Nothobranchius furzeri: one gene and its partner. The protein of the gene in region 2 purifies or fractionates together with the protein of the main gene of each other region. This does not show direct contact. Links are inferred from orthologs where the notes say so. Each region holds a gene or a part of one and is shown on either strand. Other genes may lie near its edges.

Region 1 (3,823 bases), on a different chromosome or scaffold from region 2:
GAAATAATATTAAAAGGCCAAAGAGCTCTTCATGGTTTCAGTCGCTGTTTATCTATAGTAAAACTATTTAACATGCAGATAGTTTTATATTTAATTAAGAACAGATGTGCTTAGTTATTTATCCAATCAGGAACATGTATGGATCAGTTTGACAATTCACCTTAGAATAAAACCTGTAGAGAATGACAAAATAACTACATCTTTTAATTTACAAAGCTTCATTTCATTTCTTAGTTGACACAACATTGTATGTATGTGTGTACTGTATGTTCCATGAACTGACAACATGTAGGCTATTCGACAAAATTCTGTGTTAAAAATAGAATGAAGATGGTTGCAACAGAACAGAAACGGGCCTTCCCACATCTCATTTATGTACTCCCTACCGGAGTCACAGGTTTGACAGATAAAGCGTGGGCGTCACAAAAGCAGGAGCAAATGCTGACTCGGAGCAAACTGCCCTATTGACGGGATAAATACCCCTTGCCCACAAACCTCTTTGAATGGTTGTCATGTTTACAGCAAGATGGAATGCTGTAGTTACAAGTTCTGGTGTGTTGTGCATGTCATTGTTTTTCCTGGATTACTCAACTTCCATGTAGAGGCAGCAGTGTTGACTTGTCTCTTCAAGAGACCACAGACGGTCAGATCCGGGGGCTGCAGGTGGTCCGAGCAATAACAGCCCCGTTCTGTTTGGTGTAGTTCAGCCCATCGGATGCTGTGGTTGTCAGGGAGCAACAGGCATGGCCTCTGTTGTACTTTGTGTGAGTGCTGCAAAGTGCTCTAGAAAGTACAGAATATTCTCCTCCATCCGTCCACTGGGCTTTGCACCTTCTACACATCCTGTGGGAACAAAGCTAAGAAAATGGAAAGGGCTGAGACATCGCAGGCCAGGGTCACCAGGGTTCCACCCTCTGCTTGCTTGTAGTCTCTTAGCTTCTACCTTATTTAGTTTGTGGACCATAGTAATGCCTGTTTTATCCACTATCCAAGTGGACTGGGGCCCAAACTGATGTCCTTTCTTCATGTGCTCCAGATCAGTGAAGAACAATCCAAAGTGTGCTTTTGAAGGCACTGGCACATGTAAACATAGATTTCTAGATGTTCAACACCATATATATGTATTAATTAAATAAATAATAATTTTCTAGCCTTTCAACAATGTAAAAGCGACTACAACACCTACATTTGCTTTTGTGCTGCATAACTGCCCAAACAAATACCACATGGCCACCCCCCTCCCCTCCCTCTCATAAACACATACCCAAACAGCAACAAGATGGAAACAAACATTGGTTGTTAATATCGGCGTTTATCTTTTTGGACTGATAACGATATGCTCAAAAATGACCAACATCGGCCAATACCGATTTGATGCCGATCTATCACGCATCCCTAAATATTAATGTATCCCACGGTGGGCAAAATACATCTCCCAAATCTCTGATGGACTAATTTTATTATCATGTCAGTGTTTGATCATTTATATGAAACTCCTTTGCAGTACTTCTGATAAACTTGTTTTACAGTCTCACAGCGTGGACTGTCCTGAGCATTATATCATATGGTGTGTGGCCATAGCTGGTCTTCCTGACCTATATTAGATACATTTACTTGTTAACAATAGGATTTTGAAAACCTTAACCACCAGTGAATGTCAAGTCTCAAACTCTCAACCTGAAAACATAGCTGGTCTGTTAGCCTGGCAAGCCATCCTACATATGTGAACATATTTTCTGGCCACGGCCCACTGACGGGTCTCCGTTATGGTGCGGGATTTATGGGTGCCTTTAAAACCGTCTCTGTATGCTATTGGACAACAAACAACGTGACCTACTCACCGTTACGGATGTCAGTCATGCATCGTTGAAAAAGATGCCGATTCTTTTTCTAAATAAAAGACTTTAAAAGTCTCTTTCAGGAGTATTTCTCTCGTCTGATGGCACCATCTAGTGGCTGACAAGCATATCACACAAATCATTTCTCCTTTTGTTTTTTTAAGATGGCGACTTCAAGTTTCTTGTTTATAAATGTGCTTCTGTAGCCGACAAACAGAGCTAAAACACGTTGTTTTATGAGTATTATTCTCATGTCTTGTTGTGTTCTCATATATTTATATTTTAGAGACTTTCTTGTTCATGAAAAGTTCATCAACTCTGCATCAGCTGAGGTAATCCTTAGAAACATCTAAGCTGTAGTCTAACGCTATTGGTTAGTTCTGGTTGGCGCTCAGTTTCCTATTGCACGGAGCTCTGCAGGGCAGGGGCGTGCTTAGCAAAAAAAAAAGAGACATTGCTTACATTATATCACAGTACATGATAAGATAATCACTCTTATGGATTTCTGAAAAGTCATACATAATTTCTGAAAGAGAAAAACTCCGGAAAGATCCTTTAAGTACCTCTATCTTCTCTTGACTTAAATAAAAGCCCAAGTCTAAATAGTTCAAAGTTGATGCTAAAGCCGTTTCAAACGACTCGTTGCCGTCTTGGTTTCACTCGGTCGCAGTAAAGCCCCGCCCACCAAACTGATAGAGCTCTGTGATTGGCCAGTTACAAGACTTTCCGGGGCTGCAGAGGTTCCAATGAAGCGTGGCTAGCCTGACATGCAGAGCAAAATCGTTTAGCTTCTGCTACTAACGTTCTAGATTTCTCGGCAACTATTTGTGACAACTATTTTTTAAACCAACCAACACCAGCATTTATAACAGCGCCCTCAGGGGAGTGACATTCAGCAGCTGTGAAAACCAACCGTCTTCTCTCCTAAATGTTTAAAACAATACTTAATAACATTTAGAGTAATTAGATAAAAGTAATTATGTTTTAGGGGTTTTCTGGTTTTTATTTTTGGTTTCAGATACGGTGAGCATTTCAACTGTAGTGAGTAGACTAGTCAGAAATGCCTAAATTCATTTAGTTGTGTTGGGATTGATTGTGTTTTGCAGGCACCGTGTGTGACTTCCGCCTGAGCTACGGCAGAGTTCTCAGCAGACGCAGCAAGATCATCGCAGTCAACAGAGACAAGTCACAGCTGCTGAAAAACTCTGATATGTTCTGGAGACCCACTGTAGCAATTCAGGGTACGCTTGCAACCTTCTGTCACCACGATCAAATCATATGACATGTATGGTCACATTAGCAACACAGATGTTGAATGTGTTCAAATTCAGGGGCAGCATCCTTGTAGGGGCTCAGCCTGCCGAGTCCATGTAGGTCAGTTCCTTACTCGACCACCAACACTGGCTGAATTTGGATGGTCTAGCCTTCAGATTTAATCCTGCTCTTACCTCAGTATGTGTCCTGTTGCCTAGCAACTTTGATGGCACTAAAAAGAAGTTGAAACTAAACTTAACAGCAATGCATGAAGAAATACAGGACCCACCATTTGAACTCATTTGCAAAGATTTTTCGTATTTCTTTTTTGACAAAAAATATATTTAGAAAAACAACAATGCAAACAACAAAAGCCTAACAGCACAGCTGCTTTAGGCTTTTAATTTTTGCACCACCATACGTTAACATACTTGCATTTAAAACTGTAATCATCTCCTGCTATGTCTACCATTATTACAAGAACAAAAGTGGGGCCCGTAATGAGTCTTGGGACAGGAGGAATACATCAGACCCATCCTAGAAAATAAGAGTGTATTTCAGGACACATTCTGTTTATTTGGTGAATCTGGAAAGTCTTGTTGCTTTAATGAAACATAATTGGCCCTAAAATGTGGACCTGGAAGACCCTGAATTTGGACACAACTATAACTTTGAAAAATAGCGTCCTGTTTCAGTGATCATGAAAAAAGTATCGCCAAATAATAACCTGT
Region 2 (4,413 bases):
AACACGGGGCCTCGGGCCATGGAGGCCACCACCTCGATCATCTGCAGCATTAAAAGCAAAGCGAATAATCACAAATAATCGACCATCTTCACATAAGACAAACACACACTCGGATTTGAAATTATTTTTTGAGTATCTTGTATGAATGGATCTCCATCCGTCCGTCAGCACAGGCAAACGGCAATTAGCTGAAGTCTATTTTTTCCTAAAAAAGTTATTTTATTACATACCTCGGCCTCAAACGAGACTGCGAATTAGTTCAACGTGTGTCTAAATTTACTACTCTGAAATAAAAGTACACAGTCTGACATTACATTCTATGTATTTGGACATACTAGCTAAACTAGACGGCTGCGAGCTACCGTAAACATAACAAAATGTACATGGTCTGCTTCCGCTACTGGACAACAAATCACAACTCAGAGGAAAACAGAGTGGTCCTAAAATTTAGTCATATAAATAAATATTCATTTGGGATTATCAATAGCTAAAATACTAACAAAAGATCTAACAATTCTTGTTTTATTTTCAAATTCTATTCAATTAAAAGTCACAAATAATTGCAGGAATAGTTTTTCGTTGGCCTTTGTTTTGACTACTAGCATTGAAAGTCAGACGTTGCTACCATTAACTCGTGGGGAGGAAAATACTAAACATTTCACAATAAATAATAAATGTGCGCTATTCTCATCACGAATTCATAAAACGTTTTAATTAAATGCAAGTTTTTTTTCAAATTCGCCAAATTATACTAATTTTGTCAAATGGAGGAGGAAAAAAACAGAATTAGCCAAATCCCCCCTTTTATGGTTCAAAATGGTAGCGCCTCTTTCGGTTGTGGGCTATACACTCCGAAGTAAATTTTGCCAGGCCGTACCTTCTGACAACAAAATGATTTTTTACAACAATCAATGAAGTAAGTATAACCAGTATGCTGAACATTGGGTTCACCTTTCCTGTAGAGATGGTTTATTCTCAAACAAGGCTCGTTTATTAAAGTGTGTGTCTGAAAGTCAAGGAAAAGGGTAAAATTTAGCGCTACAGTAACCCATTAAGAATTTACGTGTAGAGCGAAGCGCTAACAGAGGCTACACTGGTCGTGTTTGAGCGGTATATTGCGCTGTCGCACAGGTTAATTCTAAACTACCATCTACAATTTATTGATGCTGGCTGCTAGTAAACAACTCCGATTGTTCGTAAGCTTTAAAGAAATGCTTTGCTGTTATTAAATGTAGTGTGAGCGAGGTAATAAAAATATTGATTTTCAGTTTTTTGCCGGTTACTGAGAGAAAAGGCTTGCAACAACATTTTGTCCCTCCTTTAACTTTTGTCATATCTTTTTCACAATTTAGTTGCGCTCTCTGATGTCATTGCAGATGTTCCTGCTAAGTGATTGAGGCATCTTCTGTACTTCCTGTTGCTCGAAACCCTTTAGCCATCCAATCTAGTCTCTACTTGGTGCTGTCAGCTCCACAGTCACACCCGGACCCATTCGAGGGATGCAGAGCGGTCTAGTTTGAGGACCTTAAAATGGCACCAGGGCCTCCACCTTGACCAGGATTACTCACTGAGAACCGGTTTATGATCCCTCACACTGCTCACTCAGCACACCTGTAACTACCTCCTCTCTGTTTTCTCCCCATGGTCAAAGCACAGTTGTGTTTACCAAAGGTGGTGGCAGCCTTCTGTCAAGTATTTTTGGCTCCCTTCCACCAACTTAAAGATCTCTAATTCCATTTTTCCCACTATAAACCTAGTTTAAATATGACTTCAGATTGGGGAGAGAAATCCTCAGCAGAGCTTATGAGCAGGTATGTCTCCAAGGAAATGGGATACAGGGTGCCCAGGGAAGGTTGGCGAATCTGTTTGGCGCATGAGTTCACGGAAAGGAGGAAGCCCTTTCAAGCAAAAGATGTGTCGCTTTCTAATGTCTGGGACCACATTGGCCTTGGAATCAGGTGAGACATATCTCATTTTAGCATCTAGCAATGATGTCATATTTTAATCTCTTTCTTGAAGTGAGATCACAATGCATGCACATTTCAGACTTAAGTTTGTTTTTGAAAACTTTTGCGATTTGCAACATCACTAGCTGAAGTGGCTGAAACTATGACGTTTGAGATTAACTTATGCTTTAACGTGGTTCACTCAGTAAAAATACTCCATAGCATCAGATTTATTTATGTTTAATTAAGGGCAGCCACATATTGTGTAAACAATACAATGCTACTCTTATAAACAACAGTCTGTGCTTATGCTGACACAAAGCAATGAGAAAAAGACAAGGCATTATCTATCCAGCCATCCATTCATTTTCCTCCGCTTATCCGGTTTCGGGTTGTGGGGACAGTAGCCTAATCAGGGAGGTCCAGTCTTCCCTCTTCCCAGCCACTTGGTTCAACTCCTCCGGGTGAATCCCAAGGCATTTCCAGGCTAGCTGAGAGACATTGTCCCTTCAGAGTGTCCTGGGTCTTCCTTTAGGCCTCCTCCTGGTTGGACGTGCCTGGAAAGCCTCACCAGGGTGATGCCCAAGCCACCTTAACTGGCACCTCGATGTGGAGGAGCAGCTGATTTTCTCCAAGCCTCTCCTGGATGACTGAGCTTACCTATCTCTAAGGGAGAGCTCAGACACCCTGCGGAGAAAACTAATTTTGGCCACTTGTATCCGTGATCACATTCTTTTGGTCACTACTCAAAGCTCGTGACCATAGGTGAGGGAGGAAATGTAGCTCAACCAGTAAATCCATAAATTTGCCTTCTGGCTCAGCTCTCTTCACCACGACAGATCGGTACAACGCCCGCATCACTACAGACACAGCATCATCCCGCCTATTGATCTTGCGCTCCATCTTTCCGTCACTTGTGAGCAGGACCCTGAGATATTTAAACTCCTCCACTTGAGGCAGGACCTCGTCCCTGACCCGGAGAAGGCGTTCTACCATTTTCCAACTCAAGACCATGGTCTTGGATTTAGAGGAGCTGATTCTCAATTCAGCTGCTTCACACTCAGCTGTGAACCACTCCAGCGGGGAGCTGGAGATCACTGTCTGACGAGGCGTTATTAGCTACCTAATGCTTACAAACGCTAGTTATGCTAATGCTAATGCAAGAGCTGGCATTAGCAGAAACATGTAATCACTGACTAACAGTAAAGTCACCTTGGCAGATACAAGCTACAGACAGTCATCAAGTTAAGAAATCATACATGACTTTGGGTGTTTCTCAATGTCAAGGCGCCTGGCCTTGCGAGATGTCTTGCGAGGCCAGGTGCCTTGCTTACGAGGACACTGTCCTTCCTTGGTCAAAAAAAAAACAATTAAATGGAACAGACTTGCATCACGTGACCGGTCACGTAACGTCACGTGACACGGGAGATAACATGTTTTATACGTATAAGTTTCAATATAAATATATAACAAGCCTTTTACTTTTTAAATTGTAAGTATTGGTTAAATTAAATATGTAAGCGAGTTACTACCCGCTAGCCACCGAAGCTGCAACTACTAAGCAACTAACCAACCGTAGATAACATTTTAGATATCAACCCGTCAATCTGTGTTTTAAAAAGAACTGAAAGATGGAATCAACCCGATAGCTACAATTAGTTGACTTACGTTTAAACTTTAAATTAGCCCCTGAAGTAGCTGCCGGCTTCTGATCCGCCATCCTTTTGAAAATACTGCGGTGTATTGTGGGAACTTTCTGACTAAGGCTAGGCTACAAGTCACCTCCTGTGCATTCTTGCTCAGCTAGCTAAACGGCTAACAAACGGAGAACCGATGCCTCGGTAGAACATGAACATTGGAACACGTCTTGGCGGTTCTTGATGACGTATTTCCTAGGCAACCGGAGCGTGACCAAGACATCAAGGCAAGGTTCCATGGCATTGAGGCCCTTTGTCTCACAAAAAGTGATCAGGCTTAGTGTGTGTCACATCTAAACTGGTCCGGGCAGAAACAGTCCAAAAGCATGCTCTAATCTCGGTCTTAAGCACTACAAATTATTCTACAATCAACATATTTGAATTCCTAATTTTACTCATCTATATGTCACAGTCACCTTTAGGCTGTTTGATAGAGGGCGTTCAATATGTTTTTTCTATAGGTCAATGTCAAGTTTATTTATATAGCATATTTAAAGACATGTAGACAACGCCAAAGTGCTGAACAAGGCTAGGAAAAACACAACACAATCAAGAACAAATTGCGGTTGAAATTTGTAAAAACAAATGCATTTAATACTAAAAGCATATACGCTAAAAACACAAGTCAAATTAAAGCTGTAAGCAGCGTCGTTCGGTCCTCGCAGCTCCGCGCCGCTCTGTCCTGGCCGGCAGCCAGGTCTGCTCGTCCGCACCTCACCCTGACTCAGCATCTCCTCTGAGCCCACACTTCCTGTTGTCAGGGGGCGGGG

What was found.
Region 1: the proteins of gba2 (region 2) and ilvbl purify together in Homo sapiens (co-immunoprecipitation; 3 studies listed by BioGRID and IntAct, counting the BioPlex papers as one, with this or other methods). This does not show direct contact. The link is inferred for Nothobranchius furzeri from reciprocal best matches to the Homo sapiens genes GBA2 and HACL2.

What each region holds. Positions count from the first base shown.
Region 1 is NC_091753.1:25,156,413-25,160,235, forward strand, and holds part of ilvbl (2-hydroxyacyl-CoA lyase 2), read left to right. Parts: intron 1-2,944; coding exon 2,945-3,079; intron 3,080-3,823. UniProt on the Homo sapiens protein: Endoplasmic reticulum 2-OH acyl-CoA lyase involved in the cleavage (C1 removal) reaction in the fatty acid alpha-oxydation in a thiamine pyrophosphate (TPP)-dependent manner. Involved in the phytosphingosine degradation pathway.
Region 2 is NC_091742.1:60,124,597-60,129,009, reverse strand, and holds the start of gba2 (non-lysosomal glucosylceramidase), read left to right. Parts: upstream 1-1,543; 5' UTR 1,544-1,764; coding exon 1,765-1,958; intron 1,959-4,413. Other genes in the region: rgp1 (RAB6A-GEF complex partner protein 2), read right to left, coding at 1-41. UniProt on the Homo sapiens protein: Non-lysosomal glucosylceramidase that catalyzes the hydrolysis of glucosylceramides/GlcCers (such as beta-D-glucosyl-(1<->1')-N-acylsphing-4-enine) to free glucose and ceramides (such as N-acylsphing-4-enine).